2 linked regions of the Xenopus tropicalis genome follow. The protein of the gene in region 1 interacts with the protein of each later gene in a pairwise test. Links are inferred from orthologs where the notes say so. Each region holds a gene or a part of one and is shown on either strand. Other genes may lie near its edges. The genes, in order: dnajb11 and ubr1.

Region 1 (3,825 bases):
ATAGATCAGAACCTTGTTAGAGTTAAAAACTTACAGTGAGAGGTCCATTTACCCTTGATTATCTGTGAGAATGATACAATCTTCCAGACTTGGAACACTTCCGTGCATCCCAAATACTCCACTTTGTAGCAAAATGCTGGAAGCAATATATACCCCAATCTACAAATCAGACTTACTTTGAGAAATGGTGTATAGATGGAACTACTCCCCCGAAAGCTATTACAATTCTATACCAATATATTAGTTCCCCAAAACAATTACTATATCTCTAGTATATTAAAGGAACATTAACGCCAAAAATGAAAGTTTATTAAAAAATTTAAACTATAATGTACTGTTACCCTGCAGAGGTAAAGTTGTGCATTTGCTAAAGTAACAGTACTATAACTTATATAAATAAGGTGCAGGGACATGTAGGAGGCGTAGGGCGGAATTTGCAGCAAGCGCTTTTAAGCTTGCCGAAAATATCCGCCCTACGCCTCGTGTGGGATTAGTCTTAGACTAACCTAAAACATGCCACAAAACAAGTGAAATACTTGTGTATAAAGTGAATTCCTGTACTGTACAAACTCTTTAAATTTCATTTTTTTGTGCAAATGTCATATTTTTTACTTTTTCCTTGTTTTCTCCTGTTTAATTGGCTAACTCCTGTTCTTCTAGGCGTGATTTTTATAAAATCTTGGGTGTGTCAAAAGGAGCTACTGTAAAGGAGATAAAGAAGGCTTATCGAAAGCTTGCCTTGCAGCTTCATCCAGACAGAAACCCTGATGATCCTAATGCACAAGAAAAATTTCAAGACTTGGGGGCTGCCTATGAGGTTTGTAAAAAGTGACGCCCCCCCCCTCAAAATTACTACTGTTTCATAGAAAGAAAAGAGAACAATACTTATATTCACTAAAGATACATTTAGTACTGTCACTGTATGTCAGTCTGAAAATACATTAAATAGGATACATTTCCTTATCCTTCATTATTCTCATTAAGTTGGTTATAGTCATAATAGATATAGTGCATAATGTACCCCCTGCAGTAAAATTTAAGGATATTACAATTCACCAAGGAATTCCATGACTCACTTAAACTGGTGTATTATAAAAATAATGCACCCCCTGTTGTAAAATATAGGGATGTTTTAAGTAACTTAGGATTTTAATGACCTGTATCAAAGCACACTGCCTGCACTCTCTTTTGCTTTTATATGGTAATGGAACTTTCCCGTGATTTATAATATATAATACATTAAAAGAATGTCATAATGTCACTGAGGAGTTCCATGATCATAAAAAGTGTTTTATATTAGTAATTAAGCTCTGAGGTGACATTTTTTATCTGCATATTTTACAAGGGTACATTGTTTATTATGAAACACAAGTTTTATTGAGCAGTGGCAGAAATTACATCATTAAGCACTAATTATAACAGATAACTATACTAAGCACCTGATGTAAGTACCTTACGTGATATTCATGCTTCTTGTGCATTCTAACCTATAATATACAACGGGGTATATTATTTTATGTATAATTCTAATAAATTATTTTTGCTTTCTAGCACTAACTGGAGTCTCAAGTTACTATTAAGTGCTATTCAAAGGTAACTGTAGCTTTCACTCCAACTTGCAGCGCAGCAGTAAAGTGTGACTGAAGTTTATCAGAGAACAAATCATATGGCTGTGGCACCCTTGGTAATAAAGTCATAGCTATCCCCATGTGAAAATTTCAGAATTAATTATAAAAAAAAAAAAAGTTTGTGCTTTTAAAAAAACAGATTTCAGTCACCTCACTAGGGTACTATTATTAACTATTATTATGTGAAGTTAACTTGTGTTTTGTTTGAAAAAAAAAAAAATACTTTATAGCTTATTGACTTAATAAGTTTTCTGTATGCTTTTACAAGAGTCAAAACATTTAGATAAAAAAACAAAAAAAAAAAAAATTAAATGCAGGATTCTGCTGGAGAAGCACTATTAGCTGATGTGGTTAAAAAAAACAAAACATGTTTTCCCACGACCGTATTCCTTTGATTCTGGCAAAAAAAAAAAAAAGCATTTAATCAATAAATATACCCAGTAGGATGGTTTTGCAACCAATGTGGATTTGTGCATCTTAGTTACCCTCAGGTACAAGGAGTTTTTTTATTATTACAAGGAAAAAGGAAATTAGAATTATTGGCTTAAATGGACTTTATTGGATATGTCCTTCCCTTAATTAAATGCTCATTGGATAATGTCCTTCTGGGTAAAGCATCCTGCATATTAAAAATTTGCACTGTATAGGGATGCACCGAATCCACTATTTCGGGATTCGGCAGAACCGAAATCCTTGAACCGATTCAAATCCTAATTTGCATATGCAAATAAAACTACTAAAATGTTAAAAAGAACCATCCGTGCAACGAAAAAAATTTTGGGTTCGGCCAGGACCATGGACTAGGGAAGTTAAAATAATGTTGATCATTAGGCATAAAAGAAAATACAAAAACTTTATCAATAACATGCTATTTTTTTTCAACAATGTTAATAATTTTACAGATTTCCATTATTTTTTGACTAGATCCTCTTTAAAATTATTAAAATAATTGTAAAGTGTATGCATCCTTTTATTGTAGAGAGCTGTGGAATATGTTAATAACGCTATGTTTAAAACTGAAGATGAAGTAGCAGATCTGAACTCCCCTTAGATCACTGTTTTGTGTTTTGTTATAGTATTTTAATAATGCTATTGACAGGTATGAAACTCACATATTCTAATTTTATGATTTTGTAACTTTAAAATAGGTGCTTTCAGATGAAGAAAAAAGAAAGCAATATGATACATATGGCGAAGAGGGGTTAAAAGATGGACATCAAAGCTCCCATGGTGATATATTTTCTCAGTAAGTAAAAATCAGCATTGGATCTAAATAAAGATATTCTGACTGGGAATTGACAGATTGAAACTAATATCAGGGAAAATATCAAAAATATTCTGTCAAATGCATTAAAAATTGTTATATATATATATATTATAAACAATGCAGAAGAATGGCACTCACAGGATTTGCTAAATTAGGCTTCCAAAGATTTATTTGTTGGGGGATTGACACCCTCCAATCCGTACTGGAACAAACACAAACACTGGCACATGTTTGAAGAATAGGCTTCCCCCAAAACATTACATGGTTTGCATATATTAAACATACAGGGTTTATGTCATTTGTAAATGCCTTGTTGTGCCAGTGTTTGTTTCTTACAGATGTGAACAATTCAGGGCTGTATAGGTATGAGCAATACAGGGTCTTATATGTATGAACAATTCAGAATCATACAGGTGTAAATAATGCAGGACCTGAGCCAATACTAATATCTTAGAGGTAAGCAGTCACAGCAACAAGACTTTAATCGTTTGTGTCCCGCTGGCCGCCAGTTGAACAGCACCGTCCTAAGCAATAAATGACATCCTATTCTCCTTTCTGGATATAATATTGATATATGCACAAACCGGACCAGCACACAAAAGCACTGTCCTAGGGATGATCCCCTGTGGTTCATATAGTCAAAAGTTTCCACTTAAATTTAAAGAATCTAAAGCTGCTGCCAGTTTATTGATAAATGAATAGGATATAAACAATAAGCTGCTTTACTGTTATATGTATAAATGCAGCTTCATCAGCACCCAGCCTGGCTACATTCCTTTACTTTCCCTCTGCACATGTTTGCTATTGAGGGGTGTAGCCTCATGACATGCCACAGCAAATTAGCTTTTACTCTATTGTCACATTTTGTGCATTACTGTCGCAGACCAGGGAGCATAGATTCTGGAGGGTGGTGGATGGGAGGCTGCTTCA
Region 2 (4,567 bases), on another chromosome or scaffold:
TTCTTTGTATAGAAGCTTACAATGACTGTCACATGAAGCTGCGAATGGGTTCCTGGATAGAAAATAAGGCCCTGGGTGGCGGCTCTGCAGCTCATACAGAACAAGAACAGCTTAGCCCCTAGGCTGGAAAAAGTGATTGTTCTCAATAACAGCTGGTGAGCTGCCTTATGATGTATTCACTGATCAGTGGCATAAATACTATAGAGGCAGACCCTGTGATCATGGGGTGGCCTGGGCTGGTCTTTTTTGTGTTGAGCTCCACTGGCTTGACAGACTTAAGAGTTGTCTAGTGGGACAATATGCAATGAAGATAGCAGTATTGTAGCTTAGGGTGAAGACATATGGAGCTACTAGTAGCAGCTACTTGTCATGGCTACAGGAATAGACAGCTCATTGATGCGGTCCCCAAACCAACTGCCCCATTGCCGCCAATCAATCAAAATTTTTTTTTTACCTACACGCTCCCCGATATCGCCCACCCATAGGTGGGGATATCGGGTGAAGAGCCACTCGCTGGGCGATCTCGCCAAGCGAGCGAATCTTAACGTGTATGGGGACCTTTAGACTGGACCACCTACCACCACCTGCCCTCTTCCTTAAAGGAGACATATCCTATAAAAATTATGAATGTACCAGGGAATTATACTCCTCTAGATATAGAAGGATTGTGCTTAAAAAGTTGTGTTTCTGACTGATTTATTGAGAAATTCCCCCCAAACCCCACTAGCCCCGCCCATCTGTTCCACTTCCTGCTAGCTGAATTCTCTGGATGAGCTGGGGAGCCAGCGGCCCTCCGTACCCTGCACTGTAGGATAGGATAGGGAACTGAAGCCTGTCTGTGCTTGTGTGAGTGCAGGGCTGTGATTGGCTCTCCCCCTCCTACTGTGCTTCTGGCAGGGACCGTTAGGACACGCCCACCCCTCATTTGAAACCCAGACAGGGACCTGAGAGGATCTATAGGGAGCTCCAATAAAGGGGCCATTGTTACAGATAGGGTTAGTGTTTAGCCCAAAGGGAAACCAGCACCGGATATTATTCATAATTACCTACAGGGTTAGGGGTTTCCCATTTATCCAATGTCTCCTTTAACACTAATGCATTTTAAAAAGCACTCACAGAGGTGAGGAGAAATTGTGATCTCTGCACAAGGAAAGCTAAAAAACTGGTAGCTATTTAGGCTACTTGGGCACTACCCCCTGAGGCATGGAGCACACCTTGTCTCAAGTCAGAATACCCTGCCTATGAGTCCTGCCAGCATACCACATGGAGAGCAGCTCCTGGTGCATTTATACCCCCAGTCATACTCCAGTAATCCCAAAACTACCTCCCAAAAATACATTGCCATAAGATGAACAATACTGTTTCTGTCATAAGGGACCTTATTAAGAGCCACAAGTGCTGACCATATAATTGTAATAGCTCAGTCTATGCTGACAGCTACATGGTAGACAATACGCCCCAAGTACCACTGCCCTAAGGTTAAAGGGAATCAGTGCTTGTGTGACAGCAGGAGGGCCGCAGCGTACAAATAAAAGGGTCTGCTTTTGGAGGCTGTTATGCACATACAAGTGTTGTGAATGAGAGTTAAAATATAATAAAAAGAACAACAGAAAATCACTGTTCGGAGAGAGCTGCGCTGCACTAATCACCATTAGCAGCAAAACCCTTTGGGAGCAGAGACGGGGGCGGGGTTTGTGCTTCCATTGAATAGTGTTGCTTGTCACTCACTGACATGACCACTTCCTGTGGAAGAATGAAAGCATACGCCCAGCAGTCATTTCAGCCCTGGCACTGAGCAGAGTGGATCTTTCTGTAGCTCTGCTACACTGACGGTTTTAAGAGGTAAAATGCAATTTTAGACATTTTTTTGAGAGCCCTACACATGTAAACGAAAGGGGCATATAACATAATGTAATGAGGATGACTCAATATGACTCAATTGTCTTTGTAACACCGACTTGCAGGGATGTCGTTCAGCCTCCCTAATAGCTGCTTCTCTGCATCCGTTCCAGTTTTAGTAGAAATGCAGGATGAGATCAGTAATTAAGGCTTGTTTGCCTGAGCTGTATATTTGCAGGAATGCCAACAAAAATCATGTCATAATGATCACTCCTGTGCATTTTTGTGACCTTTTCATGTTACCATTTAGTATGAAGAGGAATAAAGTTTTGAAAAATCTATGTTCCTAATTCTTTTAACTTTATGTTGTTTTAAGTTTCTACAGATCCAACATTTATGTGCTTTTTTTGAATTTATATTTTCAGGCAGTTAACATCACACTAAAAAAATATAAAAGTGCAGTTCATTTTCAGCTTGACTTGAAGATTATTCAGCCTTGAATTGTCACGGATATGCCTGCTGGGGACGCACTGGGATTTACAAAGCTGAAAGTGCTGAAGCACTTGTGTATTTATGTTGTTGTATTCTGAAGAGCACAGGTCCTGATATAATTAGTGACACATACTGCCTGCCTGGACTCTTTGCACTCACTGACTAACGTTCTATTATACCACCATTGTCTCTACCATACCCCTGCAAGTGCAACTTGATGTGAAACCCAGTTGGGCCTTTACTGGGCTCCCAGGTGCTGTTGTGCTGTCTGGGTGATGTGACAGGGCAGCTGTGTCAGGAACTGTGAAGATGGAGTCTGGAGGTGGAGGATTGGAGCAAAGCAGGGAGCCAGGGGATGGAGAAATGCTTGCCATGGTGAGAATACATCTGCTGGTTAATTTAAGCAATATGGGCCTGTATGACAGCTGTAGGACAGCAGCTCCCTCTTTAACTGGTGACACTGGGAGTTCAACAACACAGGTTGTTGGATACAGAGGGTATGGTACAGCAGGGGCAGTAAGAGGTCAGTGCAGAAAGTGGTGCCATTGAAACTGGCACAACAGGCATCTAGGGCACTACCTACTTAATGCATAATAGGGTAAAAGAAGGCTTAGTTTAGGTTTATCTGCCTAAATCTTAGAAGTTTGGAGCTGGTGAGTAAGTTGTGGCAACCAGTCAAAACTTTTCAGCCGGCCAACTGCAAATCAGCTTACTGAATAAGCCCACATTTTATCTGAAATGGGCAGAGAATAGATGCTAGGCATTGTTTGGTAACTGACAACATAAGAGAAAAATACCCAGTAGTAGAGAGCTCGGTGCACGGTGCTGGAGGGATCAGCACCCTCCCAATTAACTTAAGAACAAGAAAAGAGCGCTGGCACTTGGATTAAGCAATAGCAGGGCAAGCCCTTGCAAATTATTTTTCTTGTTCTTGGTAACAGACAGCAAAAGGAGGAATGAAGGGTAATCCATGGGTATTGGCAAACAGGAAGGAAGCAGGGAGGATGGGCACCATTTGGTATCCAGGTGGTCAGCAGTGCCATGCTACTTAAAGGAACAGTAACACGAAAAAATTAAAGAGCTTTTAAGTAATAAAAATATAATGCACTGTTGCCCTGCACTGGTAAAACTGGTGTGTTTGCTACAGTAACCCTACTATAATTTATATAATAAGATGTTGTGTAGCCACGGGGGCAGCCATTCAAGCTGGAAAAAAGGAGAAAAGGCACAGGTTACATAGCAGATAACGGATAAGCTCTGTAGAATACAATAGTGTTTTATCTGTTATCTGCTATGTGCCTGTGCCTTTTCTCCTTTGAATGGCTGCCCCCATGGCTACATAGCGGCTTATTTATATAAATGATAGTAGACTTTCTGAAGTAAACACACAACTTTTACCAGTGCAGGGCAGCAGCACATTATATTTTAGTTAGTTTTATACACTTTCATTTTTTTCTGTTACTGTTCCTTTAAGGGCCAAAGCCATTGTTACAATTACATTTGATTCATGGGAGCCAATGCATTAAGGAGCTCATCCTGCCTGGCCTGAAATGAGTGACCAGAAAGTTACCAATACCAAGTTTCTTCCAACTAGCTGCTCAAAGCCAAAGCGATGTGTATGTTTTCTCACCAGTGATTTACATTATTGCCCGTGGGAAAACATTTTCAGGATATTAGTTGTTTGTGGTAGAGGAGATTTTTCACGTGTGCCATCAACCTAAGTGCACTGGTATACTTTTTTTTATATAAATTCCTTTTTGGGATTAGTCTGTATGTTCATTTAGTTTAGGAACACTGTGTGACGGCAATGGTGTATGCTCAGTGGGTATGACTATGTGATAACTGTTAGGGCACACCATTTAAATATCACATACAAATACTGTAGGTAGGAAAGCAGTAATAAACAGTAGCTCAGTATGCTTTGTAGAAAAAGCACTTTACAAACTCTGGCTTGGGTTTGGTAATTCTATTTTTACTTTGGATGCCACTTGTTGCTTCAGTGTACGGTACCTCTTATATAGAATGTTCAGGACCTGGGTCTTTCACTGCAGAAAACCCAGCACTCCCATTGTAACTAACGCTATGTTTGCCTTTCCATTAGCATAAGACATTAGCTGCCACTGGAACAAGGAAGCTCTAGGGCTCATTTACTCTGGAAATTATCTTCTTCAGTTATATGTAGCAGATTTTATCTTTATTATTAACCAACAAATTCTGCAGTGCTTTACAGTAAATG

Evidence for each region.
Region 2: the proteins of dnajb11 (region 1) and ubr1 interact in a two-hybrid assay, tested with the Homo sapiens proteins (2 studies listed by BioGRID and IntAct). The link is inferred for Xenopus tropicalis from reciprocal best matches to the Homo sapiens genes DNAJB11 and UBR1.

Annotation. Positions count from the first base shown.
Region 1 is NC_030685.2:43,677,239-43,681,063, reverse strand, and holds part of dnajb11 (dnaJ homolog subfamily B member 11), read left to right. Parts: intron 1-660; coding exon 661-817; intron 818-2,776; coding exon 2,777-2,874; intron 2,875-3,825. UniProt on the Homo sapiens protein: As a co-chaperone for HSPA5 it is required for proper folding, trafficking or degradation of proteins.
Region 2 is NC_030684.2:105,745,210-105,749,776, forward strand, and holds the start of ubr1 (E3 ubiquitin-protein ligase UBR1), read left to right. Parts: upstream 1-1,735; 5' UTR 1,736-1,842; intron 1,843-2,264; 5' UTR 2,265-2,640; coding exon 2,641-2,706; intron 2,707-4,567. UniProt on the Homo sapiens protein: E3 ubiquitin-protein ligase which is a component of the N-end rule pathway. Recognizes and binds proteins bearing specific N-terminal residues that are destabilizing according to the N-end rule, leading to their ubiquitination and subsequent degradation.